Linked DNA regions of Oryctolagus cuniculus. The protein of the gene in region 2 interacts with the protein of the main gene of each other region in a biochemical or structural test. Links are inferred from orthologs where the notes say so. Each region holds a gene or a part of one and is shown on either strand. Other genes may lie near its edges.

Region 1 (8,007 bases), on a different chromosome or scaffold from region 2:
AGCTTACACCGGGCTCTGTAGTTCGGACGAGGTGTTGAACCACCCCCAGGTTTGGGGCGTGGGGTCAGATTCAGAGGGCAAAGGCCACCCTGATTTGTGATGGACAGAGACAGGGCAGGGCAGGGTAGGCGGCCTCATTGCCTATCTCCTGGCACTCTGCTCCCAGCCAGGGGTGCCTGCCTGGTACTAGGGCTTCTTCCTTGTTGTAAAATTTTATTGGGGCCAGTGCTGTGGTACAGCGGGTAAAGCCGCCACCTGCAATGCTGGCATCCTATATGGGTGCTGGTTCTAGTCCCGGGTGCTCCACCTCTGATCCAGATCTCTGCTATGGCCTGGGACAGCAGTGGAAGATGGCCCAAGTCCTTGGGCCCCTGCACCTGTGTGGGAGACTCGGATGGAACTCCTGGCTTCGGGCTACTCCAGTCCTGACCATTGCAGCCATTTAAGGGAGTGAGCCAGTAGATGGAAGACTCTCTCTCTCTCTCTCTGTAACTCTGCCTTTCAAATAAATAAACAAGCCTGTAACAAGCCAGCACTCTCATCCACTGATTCACCCATCAAATGCCCCTCAGCGGTCGGGGCTGAAGCTGGGAGCCACAGACTCAATTCAGGTCCCTATGTAGGTAGCAGAAACGCAGTGAGCAAAGCTGTCACCGTTGCCTCCCAGAGTCTGCAATAACAGGAAACTCGGGGCAGGAACCCGAGCCGGGAACTGAACCTGGGTACTCTTGACATGGGACCCGCTGTTCAGCACAGAGTCCTACCCATGGCACAGCACACTCTGAATTTGGTCTCCCTAGTACAACGGGCTGCAGACCAGGGTCGGCGCCCGTGCTGGGGACTTGGCCACTCACGACTTCCCTAATTCTATGGGGCAGGGAAGTCACCCTCAGCTCTGAGGGGTGGAAGTGGGTCTCCCCAACTGGGCTTGGCCTCAGCTGAATTTCAGTTCAGGGTATGTGTGTGTGTGTGTGTGTGTGAGTGAGTGTGTGTGTGTGTTGGGGGACTGGGTTTCAGGTCTGCATGCCAGGAAACGAGGCTTGGGCTTCCCCAGGAGAAAAAAGAGGAAGTGCTAGTAGACCTTTACACTCTAGTATGAGCTGATGGACTCCAAAGGAAAGGTGCAGTCAGGGCGGCTCCGCACCCGGGCACAGACCTGGACTTTGTCCGCATCAGAGTGCTGGGCCTGGCTTGGAATCCCAGCTCTGGCTCCTGACTCCAGCTCCCTGCTCATGCAGGGCCCCTGTGAGGTAGCAGATGATGGCCTGGGTCCCTGCCACCCATGTGGGAGACCTTGGATGGAGTTCCTGGCTCCCAGCTTCAGCTCTGGCATCTGGGGAGTGAACCCACAGACGGGAGTTCTGTCTGTCTCTTGTCTCTCAAATTAATCTCAAAAAAAAAACACAAAAAAACAAAAAACAACACAGAAGGTTGAGCTAAGCGGGCCTGGGGTGATGTCCCCAACAGGTGTGGACACAGTCCCCCGGGCCACAGCAGCAGCGCACAGGTCCCTGATGGGGAGAGCACTTGAGAGTTTTTGAAGACAGCCTGAAGGCAGCCCTGGGCACCAAGAGATGAAGGCCAAGGTCACGGGGTGTGGGGGTGGGGAGGGGCAGGCACCAAGGGCTCCTGGCTCCAAGCGCTCGCCGGGTTCAGAGGCTGCCCCAGGGCACCACTTACCATATCTGTAGTTTAATTCTTTTGCCATCGAGTTCTATGGTCCTAATTTTAAAGTCGATTCCTGAAATAGAAAAGAATAAAAGAAGACCCATCACGGTCAGCCCATTGTCCCGGGTGCTGTCTGGGGGCGGGGTCAGCCAACCTATGTTTCTGGGGGAACGGTCACCTGCCTCCGCTTGGGGGTTCACCTGCCTGCTGTTGGGGATGTGTGCCCTCTGCCTCCTCCCCAGCAAGTCTGGAAGCATCTGGAGACTCTCCCCTTTCACAGAACGGGGCGCCTGAGGCTCTCAGAGCCGACGGGAGCTGCCCAGAGTGACAGATGGTGGGCACACCCAGGAGCTCAGGCTGCCAACGTCTTTGGTCTCCTCCCTTGCCAATGCCGCCAGCCGTGCCTGTCTCCCTGTCCCACACGGCCCTGCACGGTGCTCCATCACACACCCCGAGGCACCCAGGCCATGTCCTTTCTTGCCCCAGGGCCTTTGCACATGCCAGTCCCTCTCTGCCCATCAGCTGTGCTAATTTCTCCTCCCCCGGGGTCACTTCCCAAGACACTGTCCTGACCTTACCTCCTCCTCCTTCCCCACCTCCTGCTTCATTCTCCTTTGCCAAGGGTGCCTTTGCGGGGCCCTCAGAGCCGGCACCCCAGTGCTCTCCTAACCAGGTCACCAAGCAAACCTCTGCTCCAGACCTTTCTGTGGGTCCACCGGCCGGTGACTGGACCAACCCAAAGTGGAATACTGCCCAGCCACAAAAAGGAACAAAGTGCCCACACTCGCTGCAGCAGGGATGCACCCTGGAAGCCATGATGCTGAGCGAGAGAAACTGCACGCACCAGGCCACACCTCTTCTACCTTGTGACAGAAATGTCCACAACAGCAAGCCCACAGACACCGGGCGTGTGTTCGGGGTTGCCGGGGGCTGGGGAGAGTGGGAGACTGGGGATTGGCGGAGGAGGGTGGGGGTTTCTTCCAGCATGACCAAAATGCAAAACGGATTGTGGTGAGTGCAGAAAAGCACCCCTGAATTGTACCTGGTTGGTGGGTGACACCGTACGGTACCCCATTATCTCACTGAAGCTGTTACAAAGGGGCTGGTGCCGGCATCCCGGATGAGCGCCGGTTCAAGGCCCAGCTACTGCGCGCTTCCGATCCAAACACCCTGTGGATGCGCCTGGGAAGGCAGCAGCCAAAGACGGCTCAAGTGCCTGGGGCCCCTGCCACCCACATGGGAGACCCGGATGGAGCTCCAGGTTCGTGGCTGCAAACCCAAGCGTGCACTCGAACTCTGCCCATTAGCAACTTTGCCAAGGCAATGGGCTGCACGCAGCTTCCTTGCTGCTGTCACAGGGACAAAACGCCCAGCCTCGTGCCGTCGCTACCTCCCCTCCTGATGCACCCGAGCCGGCTCTGAAGCCCTGGCTCCAGTGCTGATGCCCAGATGTCCGTGGAAGGCGGCTGGCATGCCACAGAGCCACAGGGTGTAGGTGGCCGCGCGTGGTGAGGGAGGCACTTGCACAAACATCATCCGTCTCGCAGAAGGCACGGAGCGGGGTCCCCGAGGAGATGGCGGGGACGGAGCCAGGCTGGTAGAGAATGGATCGCAGGGAGCCGCAGGGCCAAGTTCACACCACAGATGATGGATGGAGCTCCTAAGAATGGGCCTTGGCAAGACGTAACCCCAGGGAAGCAAATGAACAGCCATTCAATCCCCGATCTATTAAGAAAACCCAGAGGGGCACTCGATACCAATATCCAAGGGCTCTGTGCCTGAGTTCTGTCTCAGGGATAAAGCAGTCGGGCGCGGATCCTTTGCACCTCCTGTCACTGGGCTGCACAAACTCAAGATGCACTGCTCAGTCGCCTGAGCCCTAGAGCAGCCCTCTGTCCTGCACTCCTCCTGGGTTCTAGGAACACGCGAGGTTCAATTAGCAAGCGCACACTTTACGAGGCCCGTTAACTCCAAGGTCATGGTTGAGCAAAGCCTAGAAGCCAGAGCCCCGTTAAGGCGGCTTCAAATGTAACAGGAAGAAGACTGGTGTGGCAGGACAGGACAGGACCCTGGCTCCCGTGCCACCTCCCGCCACGCGAGGCGACTCCAGGAACCAATCGGTCTCCCCCAGATTGTCGCTCTGGGCCACGGGCGGCCGTTCATTCATTGTATGGAGTTCTAATCTGAAGACACGGGGCTCAGAGAGGGGTAGTGCTTGTTCCAGGGCAAAGAGCAACAGGAAAGCAGGCATGGTGACCTCCAGCATGGTGGAGTTCCGGGTGATAATGAGATGTGGCTCAAGTGACATGGTGGTGGTGGCAGTGGTGGGGTGGGGTGGGGTGGGGGGAAGCCATTCCCTAAGTTTCCTCAGTCTGGGGTCAACCCCTGGACTGGGTGACTGTCCCCTCTGCTTCCTGAACAGGGCTACCTAGCTCGCAGGCCACTGTGGGACGGCTGTGCCTCCCGGGTCCAGCCTTGTCATCGTGGGCAGGGGCTGGCTTTTGTGGCACGGTGATGAGAAGTCAGCAGGGCCGACAGAAAAAGACAAGTGGATTCCGCTCAGCCGCCACGTGGGGTGGCCCAGCCGGAAGCGCTGTTCCCTCAGTGGGACAACCACGGAGTCCTGGGCCCTGTGATAGGGAGTGGGGTGCTGTCTGTGGCTTCTCACGGAGCCTTGTATCTTGCATCTCCTTGGGGGAGGGGATGACAGGTCCCTGGGCGGGCAGCTGTCACTCACTGGGGCTGTCACCCTTGAGTGGGATAGAGGGCGGGGCAGGGTAAATGCTCCTCACTCTCCCTCACGATTCCAGGGCCAGGGAGGAGGCTCAGTCCTTAAAGTCCAGTCCCAGGGGAAAAAGCAGGAGAGAGAGGTGGGGGTCGGAGTGTTGCTCCCAAGTGGCTCCTCTGGGCTGTCAAGACGCATCGAGGTTCAAGTCTCATCCGTGCCATTTATTCTGCAGGTTGTGTGACCTTGGACAAGTCCCCCGGCCACCCTGAGCCTCAAATCCCGCATCCGCGAAATGGGTTCGTGACAAACACCTTAACTTGCAGCCCCAGGAGGGCGCGATCACGCAGCTGGCAGAGCGCAAGTGCCCCAGCATCCACTTCTGTACGACCGACCCCTCCCACAACGCCCACAGATGAACTTGGCTTGGCAAGGGGCTGCGAGGACGGCACGAGAGGATGGGCGCCAAAACCCCAGCCCCGGACCGACACTCCCGACGGAGCGGGCTGAGAGGCGGGAGCCTCAGTCTACCCACTCGCCAAACAGGCACTGGTCCCCAGCACCACCACGGCCCGGGAACCCGCGAAGCGCGGCGGAGCCAGCTGCTCGGCTCCCTTCAGACCCCCTGAGAGCCCGCTGCCCCTCGGCCAGGGTCGATGCCTCAGCCCCAGCCCCTCAGGGGCGCGCCCGGCCCGGGCCTCCGGCGCCCCCGGCCGCTCCCCAGCCCCGCTACCTATGGTGGAGATGAAAGTGGAGTTGAAGGCGTCCTCGGAGAAGCGGAACAGGACACAGGTCTTCCCCACCCCCGAGTCCCCGATCAGCAGCAGCTTGAACAGGTAATCGTAGGTCTTCGCCATATTACACTCTCTCCTCGACGGGAAGTGCGGCCAGCGCCTCGCCACTGGCCGCTGGACCCGTCCATCAGCTCCGAGCCCGCCCCTCATTGGCTCCCGGCCCGCCGCGCGTCACCGCGGCCGACGCCCGCCCCCGAGCCCCGCCCGTCGCGGGGAGACCTGAGGAAGGGGCGAGCGGAGCGCGGAGCCGGAAGCAGCTCGAGCGCGCCTCCCATTGGTCGGCGCTCGGGACAGGGCGGGCTGGGATTGGCCAGCGATGAAGAGTAGAGGGGCTTCAAACAGGGACCGGGGCGGGGGTGTGGCATCCCATGTCCCCGCCTCCCCCCCCCGCCTCGGGCTCTGGGGAGGCCCCGCCCCGCCCTCTGAGGGGAAGGGGCGAGTCGGGAGCGGGGCCAACGGCTTCGCGCGCCGGCAGCCCAGGGGCGGGGCCTGGTGGATAGGCGCACGCGCACTTGAAAGATCGTTGGTCGCCGGCAGAGGGCGCACGCACGTGGAGGAGCCCCTGGGGCCCGCCCTGACGGCTCGCGCAGCCGCAGTAGGCGCCAAGGCGAGCGCGGGAAGGCTGGGTAGCCAGGCAACGCCAAGTGGAGTTTTCCGCGTCCTGCCCGTCAGTGGGAGCCAAAGAGGAAACAGAGAGAGCCGGGAGCTCATCGAGACAGAAATGCAACCCCTCGAGACGGGCTGCGGGCTCTCGGCCAAGAGAAATATCCAGGCCTCGGCGACCTGAGCGGCTTTCCCGCCGCCAGCTGCGCCCTGAGGAGAAATTGGGACGCCTCAAGCGAGACCCGCCCTCGGACCTAATTAGAGGCTGTCCCGGCCACCTTCAGCTTCTAGTGTCCATCCCCCCAGCCTCGTCAGCCTCACACCCAGCCGGCTGTCTGAGGCGGTCAAGTCACCCGCCCGGGGACTCAGGGCGGCGGCAATTCTAGGTCACGTTAAGGAGCGTTGCGTCTGTGCCTGGCGGTGGTAACCAACACTTAAAAAAAAAAAAGTTTGGGGCTGCTCCACTTCTGAGCCACTTCCCTGCTCATGTGCCCCGGAGGGCGGCCAAAGATGGCCCAGGTGCTTGGGCCCCTGCCACCCACGTGGGAGGAGCCAAGCTCCCGGCTTTGGCTTGACCTAACCAGAGCTATCCGCGGATGGAAGATATCTCTCCCTTTCTGTAACTCTCCCTTTCAAATAAATAAATCTTTTTTTAAAAAAAGTTTTATGATAGTTTTGTATTTTTTTTTCTTATGGTGGGAAAACAGGCCCACAGGAGGTTGACTTTCCCAGGCTCTCAAGTGGGAAGTTAGTTTTTGAATTCAAACCACCAAGCATCAGAGAACCAAAGTTGGAACCACTGGGGTTTGTGCCTCTCAGCGATGGTCCAGTCTCTTGTAGGTCACACTGAGGGCATCAGAGAGGCCTGGAGGCTTGCCTAAGGCTCTCTGGAAGATGGCCCTGGCCTCTCCTCCACCCTTCCTAGGCTCATTCTTTTCGCTGACCTCACTCAGGGTTAAGAAAACTTCAGTCAGAGCCACTGACCACTTCATAAGCCTCAGCCTCTGAGGTATTTGACAACTCAACCACTAACTGTGGAAGTGATTTTTTCTTGGTTCTCTCCCTGATTTTATTTCTATTGTGTCTGCTTCCCCATTTCTGGGTGCTGCTTCTTTGGAAGATTTCTATTTGTGCCTTAGATGTTTATGTTCCTCGTGGTTCTGTCTCTGGTCTCAATTTCTGGGTGATCTCATTCAGTCCGGTGGCTTCTAATACCTCCACACTGACGAGTCTCATTTCTTAAGCCATAGCTCACCATCCCTCCATGTCCAACTAGTTTCTTGACATCTACCTTTGGATTTGCCAAAGATAACTTCACACTCACTATGTCCACAATTAATCTCATCTCACATTCACTTACCTGGAGTTACCTTTTGACTCATCTCTCACATCCTGATTTTTCAAGAGTCTTGCTCTTCCACTGCCACAGTCAGGTTGCCACTGGTCTCCCTGGCCATTTTCCCTAGCCTAGATTCCACCCTGCAGTGTGCTCACTCTAACTCACTTAACTAATATTGATCTCAATAAAGATAAAGTCCAAAATCTATACTTTTGAGTATGATACCTCTCACTACCTTGTCCTATTCTCACCCTGTGTTCCACACACACTTTATGGGACTGGGAACTCCCCAAGAGCTGGGACAAGTCAGTTTAACAAACATGGAACATTCATGTTAAGTGCTGAGGTACAAGGATGACTAAAACAGTATCCAGAGACTAGACTACACCCAAAGTGGGTGCAGAGGAGGGGGAAGAGAGAAGTAAAAGAGGAACTTCAATCTAGAAATGGTAGGGCTCACACTGGAGGGAGTTACACTGCCATCGACATTGCTCCCACCTTCCACCTAAGCTGTCAACTACTGCTTAATTAACATGAAGGACATGTTTTAATTGTACTTGAGCGCAAAAAGCTTGTTTCCATATCACATTAATTTTTAAAAAGGTTTTCATACCTCTTTTTGATTTTTCTGCCTCCCTTTCTGGATTGGATCTTTTATCCAGATTATCAAAGCAATTCAGGTAGTGAAACTAGTCAGCTTTGACACTCTCATCTCTCAGATCCCTGCCATCAAGTCGGCTACATTTTAAGATTGCTTCCTTCTGATCACTTCTTCCCTCTTACTGCATGGCAACCACTCTGTGTACTGAAACATCTTCCTGACACCTTCCTGTCTGTACAGGCCACCACCTGAAAATAGGTGCTAAGTGCATTTTCCT
Region 2 (7,237 bases):
GTGGAGAGAGAAATAAAGAGGTCCAAGACCAAGCTCTGAGAGGGACCAAAACATTTAGAGTCTGAATAGAGAATGAGGAACCTATAGAGAAAACTGAGGAGTGAAGTAGTGACTTGAAATCAAAAAGCATAATGTCGTTAGAAGCTAAGTATTTCAAGAAAAGGGGAGTGGTGTGCAGGGTTCAACAGTGCTGCAAATTCCAGGAAGATGAAAATCATATTGTGGCATGACCAACTGCTCTGCAGAGTGGTGGCACAGAAGCCAGATCCCGATGGGTTGAGAACTAAAGGAGAGAGAAGAAAATAGAGGCCATTTGTTTTAAGAAGAGAGGGCAGCAGGGTAGTGAAGGGAGTTTTTTGTTGTGGTGGTGGTTGTTCAGTAAGAGTGGAAATACTAGGGCACACCTGTATTCACCTCTTCCAGAGAAGGAGGATGAAACGGATCACCCAGGACAGATGGAGATTACACAGGTGAGGTCAGTGGGCTGGGGTGGTGGGGTGGTCCAGATACTCGGAGAGAGCTTGGCCTTCACTAGCAAAGACTCGTCCCATTTTAACAAGACATGAGGTGGAAATTACAGGTACAGATACTAAGCAGGCTTGTAGAGTTACAGGTGGGAAGAGTATGGCATTCCTTGCAATCAAGGTCACATTTATCTATACACATAACAGTGTGTAAGTTCAGCCTTCCCCTCGGCCTGGCACATAGTAGGCACTCAGTAAGTGTTTGCTGGATGTTAACTGAAAAGAAAGAAGGTAACTGTTGTCATAGAGGAGTTTTGTGTGTGCAGGAGCACCGAGGGTGGGGGGGAGGAGGGGGGAAAGGGAGGTACTGGGATTGAAATAGGCAAGAGGCCTTTGAAACAAGTGAGGATGGGGGAGAGGCTCTCACCAGTGCCAACACCCAGTCTGACCCCTCCCAGGAAGTCATTGCTGGCCAGGGCTTCCCGGTCCCACACAGTCAGTTCCAGGCACATGTGTTGTAGATCTTCCAGCCTCACACCATTGTAGACAAATGTATGGTTGTAGTGGGGATTCAGGGTCTTCTTCACCACGGGAGTTTTACGCTTACTGGCCTTGGTCCTCATGGGCAGGAGGTATCTGGCAGAGGGTGGGGAGTAGTCAGCAGCCTACTCAAAGCCAGCAACATCTGTCTAAAGTCCCCTTTTTTTGACCACAGGCCTGGCCCAGCAAGGTACATCAACACCCAGAACCTAGTACACACAGCCCTCCTCTGAATCTGCTGAAGCAGACGTCCTACTACCTCCACTAGATCATGCACCTGATCCAATTCCTGTTACCTGGAGAGGAAATGAATATATTAGCGAAGTTGCTATCTGTGCTCCACCAAAACTAGGTTTTAAATATGTGGTCCCACTGCTACTTGGTAAGGTTCTCTTTAAATAAAACCAACGGCAGCATCTGTAGGCTCAGCCAAACAAGTGTTGGTAACGAATGTCCATCCTTGGGTGATCTATAATCTGGGGATAGCAAGCATTGCTTAAAAATCACAGGAAACAAAGCCCCGAGTTCCCAAATCCACACAGTCAGGGGCCATGGGTTTTCATCCAGGACTACTTCAGAGCAGGGGTGGGAGAACAGCCAGACTATATCTGAGTACCTTCCTACTCTTTGCATAGCAATGCTACAGCCCAGTCCAACCTGGGCTCAGACCAGTACACAAGTGGTGGTGGAGGTGTTACCATTATGGAATTTCAGGAACAAGGCAAACAAAGCTGGAGCTTGGGAGGACACATAAGGACAGCATCCACAGGGAAGGGTTAAATTGGGTTCCTCCCTTGGCTCTCACGTCCTGGAACTGGTTAGTTAGTTTGGCACTGGTCCAGGGACTCACCCCTTGACAAAGCTGTCTGAAGTCCCTCCTGATTTGGCAGCCGTCAGGTTCTTGGCTTCTTTGATCCACACCTGGAGCTCTCCCCCTTCCCCACCTTTACCTGTAAGGGACGTCAGCCATAGCAAGTGAGCTGCTACACTCTGGATTTGTCCTAAGCTCTAGCTATGCAGCACTCCCTTCTCTTGCTCTGTAACAACCTGAGGCAGACTTCACCTGTATCCTCAGTACCTAGCCCAGTACCTGACTGTAAGCCATAGGTGCTCAGTTAATCCCACTACAACAGCAATAAATAGTAACTGCAAATGGGAATGGGCTATGCGCCAGAGACTACCTTAAGCATTTCATTCTCAAAACAACCCTCCGAGATATACACTATTTTTGTCCTCATTTGATAGATGAAGAAACTGAGGCTTAGAGAAATAAAGTTCCTGATACTTGTTGAATGATTAAAAAGGGAACTCCTCCACTTGAGTTCTTGCTCCAGTCCTCACTTCACAGGACTCATCAGGTAGCACCAACTTCGACCCTCACCTCCCATTTGTAAGATTTGTTTCTCAGTCTACATATGTGCTAATCTCACTGGTTCTTTCAAAAAGAAAGAAAGAAAGAAAGGAAGGAAGGAAGGAAGGAAGGAAGGAAGGAAGGAAGGAAGGAAGAAAGAAAACATCCTTTGAAAAGAATATCTCCCTTCAAGCTTCTCTCTCCTTCAGGTTATTCTTGATGTGTCTGTCTCCTTTCGTTCACCATCAACTACCCTGAAAAAGAAATCCACACTCACTGGCTCTACTGCTTTGCCTGGTTCACTCAGTCTAGTTTCTAGTGAAATCTGGTTGCTGCCTCAACTAATGCACTGAAAATACAGTGCAATGCCAGTGAGGCGAGTCTGCTCAGTCCTCAGCTGGCCTGGCCCATGCCCTCCTTTGCCTTTTTTCCGAAGCTCTCCTGGCATTTCTCTCGCCTGGTGTCCCTCTCTTTCACTGCCACTTCTTTCCCTCTTTATCCTTCACTGTTGCTTTTCCCCATGGTTCTATCACTTCTCTAAATATTCAACACACCCTCCTTGGGGATTTCACTGATGCCCCAAATCTTCTCGATTAGACCTGGCTGAAGATCTGTTTTGGAAGAACTTTGCCTTCCCACGGCTGATGGATCAAGCTAAACTCCTTACCACTGTGGCCAGGCTCTATTCAGTTAAGCCCCTATTCCAGCCCCCTGCCACACATGTGTACCAACACTGCAGTCCACTGAAATAAGGGGTCACTCCCCCACCCTCACATATAACCTCACATTTCCCATGCCTGTTAAAACCTTGGCATGTGCAATCCTGTCTTCTGGAAATACTCCTCTCTCCACATCCTCTTCCTTTTTGCCTATTAAAGTCCTAGTGTCCAGTTTCAACATTACCTTCTCCTAGCGCTCCCAAATGTAACCAGACAGAATTCATGACTCCTGGACCTGTGTCCCTTTAGCACATGACTGTTTTGGTTTAATTCATTCCTCAAAGGAGGTCAAATATCACATCTTCCTCCCGTGCATCACCTACATATCCATAGTCACTAGCACAGTGCCTGGCATGCTGAATTATTCTCCCTCAGCCTTCGGTTTCCTACTCCTCAAACTTGATTTGACCACTCCTGCTAACTGCCCTTCGCAGCCCCAATGTTTCTGTTCTCTTCTGTCCTCATCATAGCCTGCCATAGATGGACTGAGACCATGTCAGGTTAATAGTATTTAGAAAAAAGGAATGTCAACCCTAAGGTGCTCCCTTTTGATTGAAAAGTACAGAAAAGGCTTCCTTAGTAACAGAGTCTTCCCTGACCCAGGGAGCATCCCAATCTGGGCTCTCTACCTGTGCAACCCAGAGCCAGCAGCAGCCTCGCACAGATCCTGTGCAGAAGACTAAGGGCTAAAGCCAGGGCCCCAGAGAAAACTCACTCTTTTTCCGGTCACCTCCAACAGGGAGTTTGGAGGCTGGGATGTATTTCAATGAAACCACCAACTCGCCTTTGTGTGATGGCAAGCCAGTCAGGGACTCAGCACTGACCTGAAACACAGGGAAACCCATCACGTCAAGCCAGGCTGCTCAGGCAGTTGGGATCATTCCCTGAGGGCGTCCTAAACAGTATCCCCCAAGAACAGCTTCTCAGCAAAAGAGGCTCCTAGCTCCTTATGAATACAACCCAGGGTCCTCAGGCCATGGCTGCCACAGGTTTTCAAGGCAGTCTCCAGGAGGAGCCTAGTAGTGGCAACAACCAAGAGCCTTCCGCAATCCCCACTACTATGGCACCGTGGGGACACAGTTAGTAGACTGCAAACACTCAAAGGTCTTCCAGCAAGCTTGCCACACAACTCACAAAGGATTGACACCATGACAAAGAATCTTGCTGCCAGGGTTGTTAGTAATAGCCAGAAAGTGGAAACAGCCTAAATATCAATCAATATAGGAAGTGATTTCAATATCTTCCTATGGCATGTGGCAGGCAGTCATCAATGAGAATGCAGGGAATCTGTCCATGCTGACATGGAAAGATGTCTAAGACATTCTGTTAAGCCAACAAAGCAATGTGCAGAGAAAATATCTCACGTTAAAATATATTCATATTTGTCTATGTGAATATATATATATGTAAATAGTAAGTGGTATCATGACCACTTCTATGCAGCACTTACTATGTGCCAAGTATTGTTTTAAGTACATTAAATACATTGTTTTGTTTAATCCTCAAGATACTCCTTATGAGACAGGTATTATTATCCCTGTCTTACAAGCTATGAAACAGAGGAACAGAGACATTAAGTAACTTTCCCAAGATCACACAATTAGTAACTGGAAGATACAGGATTCAAATGCAGGCAGAGTACATGCTTTTAGCCAGAGTATTACACTGCGTAGAAAACCCTAGAAGGATGCAAAGTTAACACTTGTTTCCACTAGGGAGGAGAAAAGACTAGGGATTAAAGGGCTTTCCCTTCTTCCTCTGTAATAACGGCAGCTACAGTGTCTTTTAAAATGAGAATGGCACATATCACTAGTGTTGTTTCTAAAGATAGAAAGTATGTTTGTTGAAACGGCTTGCAAAGATTTGAGGGCTAGATGGAACTCTTACAAGGATTTGAATATGGCACAATTCTCAATTTTACAGTTACTCACATTATGTTTGAGTAGTGTCTGTCTCTACCACCAGAATCTAAGTGCCAGGAGGATAAGAATCAAGTCTATTTTTGTTCATCCTAGTACGTTGAACACGTAGCAAAATATGAGCACACAGTAGACACTCCACAGATATTAACATAATGAGCATAAGAGTAGTTGAATCGGTATCTGGGATGAGCAGTGCGTGGCCCACCATCTTTTGCTTTGAGTGGTAGAATTGCTTCACTCTATTGGGTCTTTCTGGTTTGACTCTGTTCTTTATGATTTGGTATCCAGAGCTTGGGCTGGGGTAGACTAGAGGTGCCCGTTTACATGCCTGTGTTCACTAGGGTCCTGTAACCTTGGTCCTTACTCTGAACACACTGACATTAGACAGGCATAATCCCCATAGGTCTGGGTCAGGTAGCACATCCCCAGACAACACAAAGTTTAGTACAGGGGACAGACGCAGAAGAAGCAAGAGGTGGATGCTACTAAGTGAAAACCAAAGGGAGCAAATGGATTTCTAGAGACAAGTAAGAAAAACCAGAAAGAACAAATGTAGAATGCTTTCAGATAAAATATTTAATATGAGAGTAGAATTTTGTCATTTATGAAAGTCCATGCAATTTATTAATTTCTAGGTTATGAACTTCAGTAGATTTTTAAAAAAAATGGAGTTTAGCATTAGTTAGACACTGGCATATTTGTTTCAGCAACACATTTCAATTCTGGCTTAAAATTCTTTGCAAAGAATAAATACCCCATTTTAATGCAGATGCTTCTCTTTATGTAAGACATTTTAATTGGCAGTAGCTTGTGACATGTCCAGTACAATCATATCACGAGTAGACCCAAGAGGATGACTTCTATGTCAGATGCTTGAAAAATTCTAGGTTCTAATAATTGCTTTCCTGCTCTTATTAGTATTTAAAGGGGACAAATTTGCCATTGTCATTATTTTTGGAGGGCAACAGCTATCAAATTATGAGTTATGCGTTTCTTTTGACTCAGCAATTCCACCACCAGGAATCCCTCTGACAGTTATAGAAGCCCAAGATATACTAGAGCATGGTTTTAAGAGAAAGTAAACATGTGAACAATTAAATGCCCATTAGTGATGGAGTGGTAAGTAAGTTAGCATCCAGGGACATGGCAGAAGGCTATGAGAAAAGAAAATGATAGATCTGTAAGCAGTGGCCTAAGGATGCCCATGATAAATTGTAAAATTACCATAATCAAGAGAAACAACGAGGTTCACGTGAGCCCATTTGTGCAAAAGTGTGTTTGTGTGTGTGTGTGTGTGTGTGTATAATGTGTAGATGTATATCTGTGCTGCTTGATACAAGATTTCTAGAATGATATCCAACCAGCTGTTTACAATGGTTATTTCTGGGGAATGAAATCTACTTCCTCTTTTAAAAAACACTTTCTATTGGTTTAGTTCTGAACCACATGCATGTATGTCCTCTAATGCTTAATTTTCTTAACATTGCAAAAAGTTCAAACGTTCAAAAGGGGCATATAAAGCAGCCGAAAGCCCCCTTCTGTTTCAGTCTCCCTCCCTAGAGGCAGCCATCAATACTAATTTCTTTCATAACTTTCCAAAAATATTCTATGCATCATGGATTATCTTAAACATTTAAGATGCTAATATAAAACAATTTTAAAGAGGAACTTTGTCATTGCATAGTTCTGATGATCAAGAAGTTGCTGAGTCCTGTTTTAGCAATTTCAACTTAACCAGGATTGTTGAACGCTCCCTATGTGCCAGGCTCTGACTGGTACTTTGTATATAATCCTGAAAAAGAGGCACATTATTGTTTTATTGTTTGTCCATCTTTAAACAAGAAGCTGAGGCTCCTAGAGCTTTGGGTGACTTTCCTAAGCTACTTCATGAGTTAGGTGACTCACCTAGCGGACAAGGGCCAGAACCAGGATTCAGTGCAGGCCTGCACTCAGATGCCAGGCACGGTCATGCCGCACTGCTGCACTCTCACCTGAGATGCCATCTCCAGAGTAAATTTCTCTCGCCCGTGTAACGAGGAACACAGCAATGGAGTTTCATGAACTGCTTTACTTCCCACTTCCTCAGCAAGAAAGTTAGCTTGGAAAACAGGCACAGATTAGGATACACCCAGAGGGTTAACTTGGAAAAGAGATGCAAGTTAGGACGTTAGGAAACACTCAGGCTATGAAAGGTTAGGAGGCAAAGCTTGACACACATATTAAAGACTTTTCAATGCAAAC

The links. The genes of interacting proteins can lie anywhere in the genome.
Region 1: the proteins of SYTL4 (region 2) and RAB8A form a complex in vitro, tested with the Homo sapiens proteins (2 studies listed by BioGRID). The link is inferred for Oryctolagus cuniculus from reciprocal best matches to the Homo sapiens genes SYTL4 and RAB8A.

Annotation. Positions count from the first base shown.
Region 1 is NC_091447.1:64,695,209-64,703,215, reverse strand, and holds the start of RAB8A (ras-related protein Rab-8A), read right to left. Parts: upstream 5,299-8,007; 5' UTR 5,251-5,298; coding exon 5,127-5,250; intron 1,742-5,126; coding exon 1,681-1,741; intron 1-1,680. UniProt on the Homo sapiens protein: The small GTPases Rab are key regulators of intracellular membrane trafficking, from the formation of transport vesicles to their fusion with membranes.
Region 2 is NC_091453.1:92,032,643-92,039,879, reverse strand, and holds part of SYTL4 (synaptotagmin-like protein 4), read right to left. Parts: intron 3,899-7,237; coding exon 3,790-3,898; intron 1,955-3,789; coding exon 1,855-1,954; intron 1,101-1,854; coding exon 892-1,100; intron 1-891. UniProt on the Homo sapiens protein: Modulates exocytosis of dense-core granules and secretion of hormones in the pancreas and the pituitary. Interacts with vesicles containing negatively charged phospholipids in a Ca(2+)-independent manner.